Linked DNA regions of Oryzias latipes. The main gene of each other region encodes a partner of the protein of the gene in region 2 in a complex. Links are inferred from orthologs where the notes say so. Each region holds a gene or a part of one and is shown on either strand. Other genes may lie near its edges.

Region 1 (3,648 bases), on a different chromosome or scaffold from region 2:
ATGTAGAGACCAAAATGAGGAAAAATATATAAGCGACTCCAAAAAAAAGATTTAGTATGAGGAAACAGAATCAGACGGGATCTGACCTAAAATGGATCCAGAACATCTTCAACCAGTGAGACTCGGAGAGAATTCCCGGGGTCCTAAACAGTGCCGGGGAAGTTTTCCAGATTCCATATTGCAAGTTCTTCTGATTGGCTGCTGGGTGTGCATTAAAAAGTCATCATTTACAGTGATAATCGCACGCCTAAAAAAGAAGTTCCGGTCACACCGCTCAAATGTTCTGTATCACTGCGCCGGCTTCTTCAAGGCAAACTTTATCTGGACCAAAACAAGCGATCGGGTGAACTTTCCCTCTGAACTATGCTTTATTTATTAACACATCGTGATCATCAGCATAAATCTATCGCTTTCCTTTGCCCCTGCAGTCAGGGTCGGAGGTCGGAATGGCGCCGTGACTACGCGCCACGCAACAAATAGTCCACGTTTTGTGAAAAAAGCGGTCCAAAACAGGAAAAAAAGTAAGAATAAACTAGGCCTGCACAATATACCGCAAATTTATCGTTATCGCAATATCCAGCTCTGCAATATGCATATGGCAAAAGACGGCGAATATCGCAATAAATCGCAAACCCAAAATGTGTTAAAACAATCTTCTAGCAACTTGAAGCATTTAACGCTTAAAATAAATCCCTTTATGCTTTGACCAATCAGATGGACGCCTTCCCATTGTTGACCAATCAGATGGAGGCCTATTATGTTAACCCTGGTCCTGAAGAGCCTCAACCCTGCCTGTTTTCCAGCTCTCCTTAACCAGCTTGCTGTTGATTGGCTGACTCAAGTGATTTCACATCCTGATTGACTGAACACACCTGATTTTGGTTATCATTATCGAGCAGTCTAGGGAGAATTGGAAAACAGACAGGGTTGAGGCTCTTGAGGACCAGGGTTAGCCACCCTGACGTTTGTCCCCCATGTCGATGAGGGTCATTTGGAGTATAATTTTTAAACTGTTGCAATGAAATGGGAATGATGTTTTTGTTTATTTTTCTATTTGTTTATTTACCGCAAATTTATCGTTATCGCAATATTGATCACTAATATCGCATATCGCAAGTTTTCCTCATATCGTGCAGCCCTAGAATAAAGTATTAAAAACTGATTGAATATTTATTTCTATTCTAAGTGACCACAGTATAAACAGGTTAATGGCCGACATTAAGCCTCACTTAATCAAGTGCAAATGAAACATATGTCCAAACAAACAAGTAAACAAGAATAAATATCAAATGTATTCCCATTTTAGTTTCCTAAAGTCCACTGTGGTTTTTCCACATCCATAGGGAACATTAATAGAACATTCTGTTTTGTCACATGACTTTGAAGTGTTTCCATCCATTGGACTGGAACGACGGTTGATCCTTTTTTTTTATGCGTTTGTCCGCTACGTTAGAGTAAAATAAACCTACTGTGTCTCAATGCAAATACCATTTTCCACTTTTGATTATCGATTCGTCTCATTTAGAAACGTATTTTTATTTTTTCTTAACGCCGTTAGTTCATTTGATTCATTACGTTTACATTTCACTAAAAGCTAAAGTATGACCTTTTAGAAAGCTTTGCATTGTCTTCTTACATTCAATTGAATCGGTTTTTCTCGTCAACACAGCACGACTAAACATGTCAAGGACGCGTGTCATAACTGGTCGTTAACCTCAGCTGGTTAATAAGTTCCTGCTCGCCGGTTGGGGATTCTGGGAAAGTGTAAATTGATGGAGGTTGAGGACAAACCGTTTCAATGAAAGGGCTACCGGCACATTCTTGACATGGCGTTGGGGTTCACACTGGACAAGCAGGGAGGGGCTTCTTCTTTTCCTGCTCTTTCCTAGCGCATGCTAGCAGAGAGTACGGTTGGAAGAGGCCGGTGAATCCGGCTCCAGGCTTTTTCTTTCTCCGTTCTATTTTGACATACGAAAGACTTGGCGTCGTATAAATCCAGCCGCAATTATCAATTTCTCCTGAATTTTCAAACGGTCGGCCCTTCCCTGAATTACGAGGGGGCGCCATCTATAGATCGCCACCAAATCCGAGTCCCTGATTGGTCAACCTGCTTTAACTTTCAACGCACGTTCAGCGGCCAAACGTTTCCTACGTGGACGCGCTGGTAGAGACACTGACGGCGTTTTAAACGTGCACCCACGTCGACTTTTCACTGCCGGTGGCGACGTGAGCTTAGCGAAAAAACACGCGTCGAAGCATTTATGGTCATTGACCAGCGAGACGACCTGACGGGAACGCTGGGCGGGAAAAACGTTTGGAGATTTGTGGAGGTGAAATGTGTCAGTCAAATAGGCTTTTACTTTTGTATTCAGCTTAGCGCTGACATCACTTCCTGTCGGTGCTCTGATTCCTTCACACTAAAGTGAAGCATAGAAACGGGTTCAGGTGAGCGCTCACACCAGCCGCTCTGAAACCGCCTCCAACGCCATCTTCGGCTGTTCTGTTTCCTCTTCCGTCTGCGGGTGTCTAAGCTCCTCCCTCCCGCTCTCTCCCCCCCCCCCCCCCCCCCCCCCCCCCCTCTCCCGCAGCCTGGCGAGCAGCAGCCGGGACAACCCGGTCCATGTCTGGGACGCCTTCTACGGCGACGTTCGCGCCACTTTCCGGCCCTACAACCACCTGGACGAGCTGACGGCGGCGCACTCTCTCTGCTTCTGTCCGGACGGGACGCGGCTGTACTGCGGCTTCGAGAAGACTGTGCGGGTGTTCCACACCGAACGCCCTGGGCGAGACTGCGAGGAGCGCCCCACCATGGGTGAGTCGGGGGGGGTTCCGTCTGGACCGAAACGTTCATTCTTGACACCCGGTCAGACGCCATCTAGGGTTGTGCCGATGGACGATATCATCAACAATTCAATACAAAACGATGTTAAACAGCGCTGAGCGGCTATATACATTGACATGTCAGCTCGGTAATATACGAGACGATCTTCTAAACCTGCTTTTAAGAATGTTATGGTTATTATGAAACACCTGTTCGCTTATCATTTGAATTTTAATCCGTGTGGTCAATGCTTTTTCTGAACGGAGCCGGAAAGAAGCCAGGATTAGCAGTATGCTAACACGGGCTAACAACATTAGCTTTGGTTGGCGCTACACGTAAACATGTGGGAATAACATCAGCCTTTATTTAGTTGGGACACAACTGGAAACATAAATCCACGTGATTGTTTGAACGGTTTCTAAGGACTGAGCGACATTTCTGCTTTGAAGCTCACACTGCCGCTGTGTGTGCTGACGATCCGAGCTGTGCTCAGACACACACTTTTAGACCCGGTTCTGAGTTCGGTAGCTCGTTCCCCTAGAGCTGCGGGACGGATCGCAGTCTTAAATCTCCCACACATAGCGCTATGTAACAGAGCACCCCCCCCCCCTCCCTTCCCATCAAACACAAAGCTGTAAATCCGCGCTCCGCCGGTCCACTTGACTAGTTAAGTGCGGGAGCGGACTACTTCTTTTCTATTTTGTTTGTTACTTTTTTTGTTAAAGTCACTTCCTTCAGTTTAAACTGGATCATCACAGATTAGTCATTGGTTGGGAAATAAAATAAAAAAAATAAAATAACGAATAGCAGTTATACAAGAACGAAAA
Region 2 (4,197 bases):
ACCTGATGGTGACATCACACCTTTATGAGGTGAACTGTACTGCCTCCTGCAGGAGAGTCGAGGGAACAGCACCTTCTCTTGTGTCAGTGGAAGATGACAAACTCCCACCCTAACCCCTAACTACTAAAACTATTTAGTGCCCTGGATTTTAAAGAAAATTCAGACACAATGCTCAGTGCTTAATATTTTAAATGGCGAATATGACATAATTGATTTCACAAAGTTAAAATCTAATTCATATGAGCGTTTTGTCACCATTATTTATGAGTCCACTGAGTTCTGAAGATAAAAACATTGATGGTTTAATTAAAAAAATACATTTAAATACATTTTCTTTTGGCAAAAATTGTTCTGATACTATGCATTGTGGTCTATATTCACCGACATAGTGAGCCTTGATGCACACTGGTATTTCACAGAGACTTCTGGTAAATTTCTAGGGCACTGGATTTTGTAATTGTAGATTCAGACAGCTCTACAAAAAGGTGGACGCATTATGCAGTGAGTAGTGAAGGAATTCTGACACACCCCAGCAGCAGCAAAGTTAGAAACAGCTGAGAATGTTAAGTACCTGTAACTTGCAATAGAGGCACTTTATATCCATTTTAAACAGTTTAGGCCATATTCTGTAAAATTGTGCTTTTTACATTCAAGCGCTTTGTTTTTGAGAACTCCACCCACCAAAGACATCTCCATACCAGAATGCTGCTACTGTAACCCAAATATACTTCACTGGATGTAAGGAATTTCTAGTTTAGTGTATAAATATATTGGAAGCTATTTATATTTATTTGATTTTTGGTTGTGAGTGGAGATCATCTCAGTATTTACTTCCAGAACTTTCTTTCACAGAATGTATGTCCACCTTTAATGTTCTGGTCTCGTTTGAAAAAATGTGTTTCTCTGAAGAAAGCAAATAAAATTTGAAATATTTCCTCACTTTTACACAACGTACCAGAGGTTTAGTTATAACTTTACTGCTGTCGGTGGTGGTTCACCTTTCAGCAGATCCCTTCATGGATCGCCTCTGCAAATCCACTTTCATTACTGCTATTTTTGAAGTCCTCAAAGAGAGGAACACCTGCATAGGTGCGCTGCTGACTCACCACTTTGGAGGGGATGTAGGCGTACGGCAGGCTCCTGTCCTCACACATGACCGGTAGGTGGCAGTACACCTCGATGGGCAGAGTGTCGCCAGCTAAAACCACGATCCTGTAGAGCAACGACCAATCAGAAAACCAGCTTGCAAGCAATGAAGTCACTTCTGGTCACGCCCCCTCAGACTAAACACAAAAGACTGAGTCACACGGGTGACTGCGCATGTGCGGGGTCAAAGGTCGAGACCTCAATGGACAGCAGACAAGGTGACCGCTAAGCCAAAACGCAGCCATTACGATACATAACCAAAGACAAAGTACAGGTCCATCGGCAGATGCAGTTTGCCGTTGGTGGGTCAGCTAATGAAAAAATAGCAACAAAAAAACCAAAGCAGCAAATACTAGTAAGAACAGACCGTTCAGTGACATGAGTGAGCAATATTGACATTTCTGTCAGCCATGTTTTAGTTGCTTCCTCACCAACCCAAGAGCCTTTTCAATCACAAGAGGATCGGGTTATTGTTTTCTGTCAATGCAGAGAAGTGGCATTCTGATCTGTCAAAGAAACAGAAGAATGTCGTACGCCTTTAGATAGTCCATATGGAATATTTAAGCCTTCTACTAGTATTATAGATCTGGAATGTTTGAGTACTGCATCATGTGGGCCTAATGTTGAACCAGACAACTGTTATCCAGTCCTCAAGTTGTATCATGTCCAATGCTTCGCATGCATACGTCCTTTTTATCATCGTCTGCTGTGGGGATGAGGCCTCTGCAGCACACCTGTGTCGCAGCACACCTGTGTCGCAGCACACCTGTGTCGCAGCACACCTGTGTCGCAGCACACCTGTGTCGCAGCACATCTGGTGCATCGTCGGGCGCCTTTAGTTCGTTAACTGACCGGGCAGATGGTCCTGTTATTTTAACTTTGAATATGTTTCATCATGGCTAGGGTTAGAGACCATCACCAAGTTTGTCGTCCAATGAGGCCTTGACCTTTGACCCCGCGCATGCGCAGTCATATTTGTGAACTGGCCAACATCACTGAGTCGCTTTGACTAAACCCCAACTAAAACAGAAAAGAACTTGGTTGAAAGGTTTTGCAAAGTTTCTCATCATTAAAGTTCTAAAGAACTGTAGCTCCAGACAATAAAATGAGAAATGAAGAGCAGCACAGAGACAAACGGAAATTATCTGGATTCTAGAGAAAAACAAAGGATCCTATGAGAAGCTTCATCCACCAACATGCTTCTCCTCCTCCTGAGCAGCTCCGGCTCGTTCTAACTCACCCTTTCTCTCCCTTGTTGATGAACTTCTGCACCTCCTTCACTCCTCTGCGGATGTTCTTCACTCTGGCAGCTGAAACCACAAAAATGCTCAATACTGTCCTGGTCCAACCCGGTCCCAGTCGGACCCGGACTGATCCACAACCTGGAAACGTCCCGCACTCGTACCTTTCTTCACGCACTTGTAGAGCTTCTTGCTGAGCTTCCTGGAAGCCAGCGGCTGCGCGATCGGGTTCAGGTTCGCGATCAGTTCGTGATAGGAGCGCTCCGGGACGCCGGCGGGCTCCTCCGCATCCAATTTCTCCTTCTTCACCTTCGTCATTTCCAATCGATGATTTTCTGAGCCGAACGTCTGCTAACAACAACTTAACACGAGGACACCTCACGTGCTCAGCTTCCTCTGCTTCTTTTTTCAGACTACGGCTTATCACAGCGCCGCTAGCGGCCGGGCGGTGAAATGCAGCGTGACGTTTCAAAGTTTACATTCCAAATGACTTTAATTTGCTTCTTTCTTTCAAAAATGAAATTGTGTTTAAGTTCTTGTGGTGTTTTTCTCATGATAGTGAAAATATAAAAAGAAAATTAAGATTAAATGTGTGTTTTTGTGTGTTTCTTCTGTTATTTCTTTATTCAAATTGCTGTGAATCAGGAGTAGATGACAAACTTACAGTGTAAAAAAGCTTGTCGTTACCATTGAGAGTAAAATAAGAACTAGACTGAAAAACACCCCCCCACCCCCTCCGTGTACCAAAAAAGGAAGTACCTGCTGGTCCTAAGAAGGCAAAACCCCATAGACTTCTATTAAGAAATAAACAGCTGTTACTCTGTCATTCTATTGGTCAGAATAACCATTCTGGATCTGATAACTTTTATTAAAATCTTATTGCTAATCCTGATTTTTCTCATGGTATTTTTCCTGTAGTGAAAGTTATCTAAGTTATAAACTGACAAATCAGATGCCTTAATAAAAGTAGCGTCAGAAGTTTGAAACGTTTGATTGACAGACCCTCCCTATCCGCTCTCAGTGGAAAGGGGTGTGGCCTTCTAACAGGCTCACTCCTGATTGGAGAGAGTGGTTGCAACAGAAATGTAGACAAGCCAATCACGGCTTACTGAGGTCATCTGCTTCTCACATGGTGAAGGACATATCGCAGAAAAATGGGGACTGAATTGACTTCAGTTGGTTGCAACCAGAAGCAAGGCATTTTCTATGGATGATATCACACGCCATTTATCCAGTTGTAAATTTAACAGTCAATTGTCAAACAAACTGAAATTGATGGGCCACACGCTATGGGGTCAAATTATATGAAACCCATCAAGACGACTGTTGTTGTGAATTTGGGCTATACAAATAAAATTGAATTGAATTGAAATTAGGATCAGGTAAAAAAAAAAATAACTCAAAAGTACACATTGAAAACGCCAAAAGAAATAATGAAAATTAAAAAAACTTGACCCCTAAGTTTAAACAAGAACTTCAAACCTTAAACTGATACCAAATGAAAAATAATATTTATTTGTTTTGCATTTTCAACGTTTGTTTCCTCTGTTTCTTTCCTCCTTAGCTTTCAGTTTTCACTGAGAGTGCCTAATTTTACTTGGGGGCGGGGCTTTAAGGTCATTGGCTGCGTTTACATGGACAAAAGTAATCGGAATGAACACCTGATCAGAAGAAAAATGCGTCATGTAAACACGCCGTTCGGAATACTCTGCCCCGATCAGACTCGTTTGGATCAAAATTTCTTTCTGATCAAGATAGGTGGGTTATGCCGATTGTTGATCCGATCGTGGTGCATGTAAACGGTTCATTC
Region 3 (4,382 bases), on a different chromosome or scaffold from region 2:
TTGTCTCAGTTCCATATTTCAGAAAGAAAACAATGACCTGAAATGTTCTGATTACACAAGAATATGTTGTTCCTGATTAAATGACCCACATTCATGTCTGCAACCTTCAGTTTTCAATACAAAGAGGCTCCGTGCACAAAATGAAACCACTTCTTTGTTTCATTGTATTTCATGTATGTAACAATTCTCTTTTTGTTTGCAATAAAAAAAAAAAGAATTGAAATAGGATTTTACTCTGGAGGGTTTAAATGCAAGACCTTCCAGAACCTCAAGCCTCAGCCGTGTGTGCTTAAGGCAAGCTCTTACTGGATCATCAGGTCAGACTTACCCGGGCCAGAGCGTGCTGGTTCTCCACTGCATTGTGCAACCGGACGATCCCCACATACTCTTTACCTGCAACACAGAACAGTCAGGCTTCAACCAATCAACGGCTCCCAAATGGCTCGCAGCTAAAGGAACCAGTGCTTAGGTGAAGTGGGCCAATCACACAGTGCTGGCAGACTGAGGATCGCCCGGTGACAGAAGCAGATCCTTGTACTTTGACTCTGTAGCGGACCCATGGTCACATGGTGTCTGCAAAGACAGACGTCAGGCCAGCTGACTGCAGCAGCCAGGTGTGCGCGCACAAAAATATTCAGCAAACGTCCTGACGTGGACCAGGGCGGTCAGAGATGGCCTGCTGCTGAAATGACCCCCGTGCTTCCATATGCGTTACTAAAGCATCAGCAAAAGGTTTGATTTCGGATCATCAGTATCCGTTTTTTGTCTTTTCATTTATTAAAGCTAGAGTGTCCTTTTCCATCTTCATTGTCTGGACTAAAATTCACAGTTTTAGATAAAGCAAAAACTAAATAGAAACAGATTTGTGGGGGTCTGGTTTAGATCAGTACGGATGAAGTGGAGGGGGACATTGAAGAGAATGAAGAGTAGAAAAGCCTTTGGATCCTCAGCTCTAGTTCTGGATCAGACCCATCCCCTCTCAGGTCTTAGTGATTGTAATCTGCCAATCAGACCTGAAGCCCAAAACCCAGCCAGACACCCTCAGGACCCGTACCTGCACTCTGCTGCGATTTGACCAATCGTGTGGCACGGTCTATACACACAATCAGGCAGCCAGTGACCTTGGGATCCAGCGTCCCACTGTGTCCAGTTTTCTCCACTCGCAGAATCCTACGAATCCACGCAACCACCTCATGGGATGATGGGTTGGCTGGCTTGTCCAAATTGATGAAGCCAGACCTTAAGTAGAGGAGGCAGTGTCATTATGCAATCTGCGTCATAGCATTGACCCTACGCAACGTGAATGTACCTGACGTAATCTGCAATGTTCCTCTTCAGGGGGTTGCTGCCGTTGGGCAGGGGAGTGTAGTGGCCCGTCCGCACATTCAGCTTATCGAAGTTCTGCCAAAACAGGAAACAGTTTGAGGTCGATGTACCAACCGAAGCGAACACCTGGCGTTAAATCCTGAATTAGCTTTTTGTCTAAGGGAGAAACCAACCCCAGTACCAGGTTGCCCAAATATTCTCATGCCCTTTGACCCCATGCTGGTACTACTTTTTCGTAACATACTCTCCAAAAAGTAGCCATCTGAATCACTGCCGGATAGTGAAGCCTGGACCACATAGCCATTTTTTTGTTTGCTCACACATTTCCTGTTTCAAGGCGGCGTGTGATCAGAGCAGAGCATCATCTTGACAACAGTCTGGTCGCTTCCACCTCTACACGGTCACCTCCTATAACCTGGCAGAACGCCAGGTCACAGTTGGTGACCAGCAGAGACCAGGCCCCAAAGATGGAGACGGGCAAAGAAACGCCAAGACTGCAGTGCTCAGAGAATGGATAAACTGCTTCATCATGTCACACCAACATTGCCAACATGTCACATGACCCAGGCAGGGGTCGAGGTGGAGCTGACCTTGAGAAGGAGGGGCCATTGTGATGTGTTTAAAGATGTTGCCTTGGACTCTGGCTGGATGAAAAAGTCAGCACTCCTCTGGATCTCCTGGAAAACAAACAGTCAGCTCCAGCAGATCCATGAGATTACCTTTACTCCAGACAACATCACTCACCCCAACTTCTTCATCGCAGACTTTCTTCCCTTTCTTCTTTTTAACAGATGCTACTGCAGAAACACGGAACAGCAGATTAGTGGAGTGGCGTCCTAAGAACACCATTTACCTACTGTGAAGCATGGGGGTGGAAGCATCATGCTTTGGGGCTGCTTTACTGCTAAAGTCATCTCAATGGATCCTTAAAAATCTTGAATTCGTAGATTTTTGTCTCGAATCATCAACAAAATCTTTGACCGTTTTGGAGACCCCGCAGGTGGAAACGTTTGCACTGATCGTAAACCGGTTAGAACCGGTGCAGACATGAAACGGAGCCACGTTTTACTGCAGTTCGGCTCTGATCCGTTCGACCCAAAAACTGTCATATAATAAACTAGTCAGAACCTAATTGTGTTTCCCATTTTGATTGTGGCGCGCGCACATTTGAATCAAACAGGTGTTTGTTAAAAACTAACGACTTATTCCCAACGCACGTGGCGTTTCCTGCACGTCACGTGGACTGGAAGGACCACGCGGGGCGGGAATCCAAAGAAGCGCTCAACCCCTGAAGTAGCAGACCTCCAAAAGCGAACCGAATCTGACCCGGTTTATCGTGTAGGCCGCCCGGAGCAGGACGCACGTGGCGCGGTTCGGCCTGCTTTGGTGCGCGGCCTGCTCTGCAGAACGCGCCGCGCGTGCGATGGGAACTGCGTCAGTAACGCCGTGCGGGCGTGTTGATTTTGCATTAAGGGTAGCGGTTCTGATTCTGGCAAAACTTCAGAACCACGTGGGTCGCCCTTACCTTCAACCTCCGCCATCTTCTTCCAAGTGACTGCGTGCGAGCGTCCGCCTTCTTATTCTTTGGTCTACGAGCACCGGAAGACGATCGAGCCACATCCGGGGCGGGGCTAGAGAGCTTTTGGATTTCCTCTCATGTATTGGGATTACCGAAAAACTAGTTAACCAGGGTTTAGGCTCTTTATTCATCCAGAGTCTCGGGCACTGACAAACTCTCAGAAAAGGAATAAGACTTATAAAATAAGAAGGTTATTTCCCGAACTTCCAACCCAAAGAGACACTTAATGAATGTCATTTATGAAGATCTGTTTCTGAAGGAAACTGCTGTAGAAAATGTATGTTTTAATATCTTATTCTTCATTATGTTACAGCTTTATCTTTAGTGTGAAGTGAACTCATCAGGACTTATTCTCCAGTGACCTTCACTTGTGCTTTGTAGTTGCAGCAGCAACTAGGACTTCTTTGTGCAAATCTAGGAGTTTCCAGAGATGGAATAAATATGTCATGGACTACATTTCTACTATCTGGGTTGAACATCTTATCCTAGGGAAAGTGTTCAGATTCCTGTTCTCATGTGGAGGATGAAGCTGACCTCTGATCACGTGCCGGTGATGGAGTATCCGTTTGGCTGGTAGGATTTATTTGGACCAGATGAGGACTCTTGATCGTTGGATTGTGTGCGCCGGTGAAATAATAATAATAATAATAATGGATTAGATTTATCTGCGCTTTTCAAGACACCCAAAGCGTTTACATTGTGTCCATTATTCATTCACTCCTCATTCATACTTAGTGATGGTAGCTACGGTTGTAGCCACAGCCACAGACTGACAGAGGTGTGGCTGCCATTTCGCGCCTACGGCCCCTCTGACCATCACCGGGATCATTCATACACATCCACACACCAGTGGAGCCACACTGGAGGCAAGGAGGGTGAAGTGTCTTGCCCAAGGACACAACGACATTTTGGCTGGTGGGAGCGGGGATTGAACCGCCAACCCTTCGATCATTGGACGACCCGCTCAACCACCTGAGCCACTGTCGCCCCTTTGAAAGGCGAGCGGATCTGGAGTTGGCAACCTTCAGCTATTGGCCGGTGGAAGCACAAGGGATACCGGCTGACGAATCAGAGTGTTCCGGGGCGGAGATCCAGTGGTCATGATGTTTTCAGAAGGAGGAGTGTCAAACACATGTTTAAAAGACTGTTTTGGACGGACTTTACTGTTCTTAGGAAAATCTACGATTCGCATGTAATTCGCATGTAACTTGTGCGTCAGTAGGTCTTTACTTGAGAATCCAGATATATCTGCATTAATGTTTAATCTGTGCTCTAGAACTATTGTCAGGGAAATAAACTTCGTGTATTTTTAATCCGGTTGAATCCTTGTTTGCTTTACCACTCTCGTCTCGACTACTGAACATGCATGGATGGAAAGAACTGAAAAGCAAAGATTTCTTTCCTACACTGCTGAGACCAGAATGAAGTTTCCAAGCTCCATTTAATAATAATAATAATACATTACATTTAAAAGGGC

Evidence for each region.
Region 1: nhp2 (region 2) and wrap53 share a complex: the UniProt entries of both Homo sapiens proteins name them as parts of the telomerase holoenzyme complex. The link is inferred for Oryzias latipes from reciprocal best matches to the Homo sapiens genes NHP2 and WRAP53.
Region 3: nhp2 (region 2) and dkc1 share a complex: the UniProt entries of both Homo sapiens proteins name them as parts of the H/ACA small nucleolar ribonucleoprotein (H/ACA snoRNP) complex. The link is inferred for Oryzias latipes from reciprocal best matches to the Homo sapiens genes NHP2 and DKC1.

The regions. Positions count from the first base shown.
Region 1 is NC_019876.2:6,277,123-6,280,770, forward strand, and holds part of wrap53 (telomerase Cajal body protein 1), read left to right. Parts: intron 1-2,588; coding exon 2,589-2,812; intron 2,813-3,648. UniProt on the Homo sapiens protein: RNA chaperone that plays a key role in telomere maintenance and RNA localization to Cajal bodies. Specifically recognizes and binds the Cajal body box (CAB box) present in both small Cajal body RNAs (scaRNAs) and telomerase RNA template component (TERC).
Region 2 is NC_019872.2:3,233,527-3,237,723, forward strand, and holds the start of nhp2 (H/ACA ribonucleoprotein complex subunit 2), read right to left. Parts: upstream 2,810-4,197; 5' UTR 2,706-2,809; coding exon 2,552-2,705; intron 2,457-2,551; coding exon 2,387-2,456; intron 1,213-2,386; coding exon 1,107-1,212; intron 1-1,106. UniProt on the Homo sapiens protein: Required for ribosome biogenesis and telomere maintenance. Part of the H/ACA small nucleolar ribonucleoprotein (H/ACA snoRNP) complex, which catalyzes pseudouridylation of rRNA.
Region 3 is NC_019880.2:47,667-52,048, forward strand, and holds the start of dkc1 (H/ACA ribonucleoprotein complex subunit 4), read right to left. Parts: upstream 2,944-4,382; 5' UTR 2,868-2,943; coding exon 2,852-2,867; intron 2,124-2,851; coding exon 2,071-2,123; intron 2,004-2,070; coding exon 1,917-2,003; intron 1,402-1,916; coding exon 1,310-1,401; intron 1,240-1,309; coding exon 1,055-1,239; intron 394-1,054; coding exon 329-393; intron 1-328.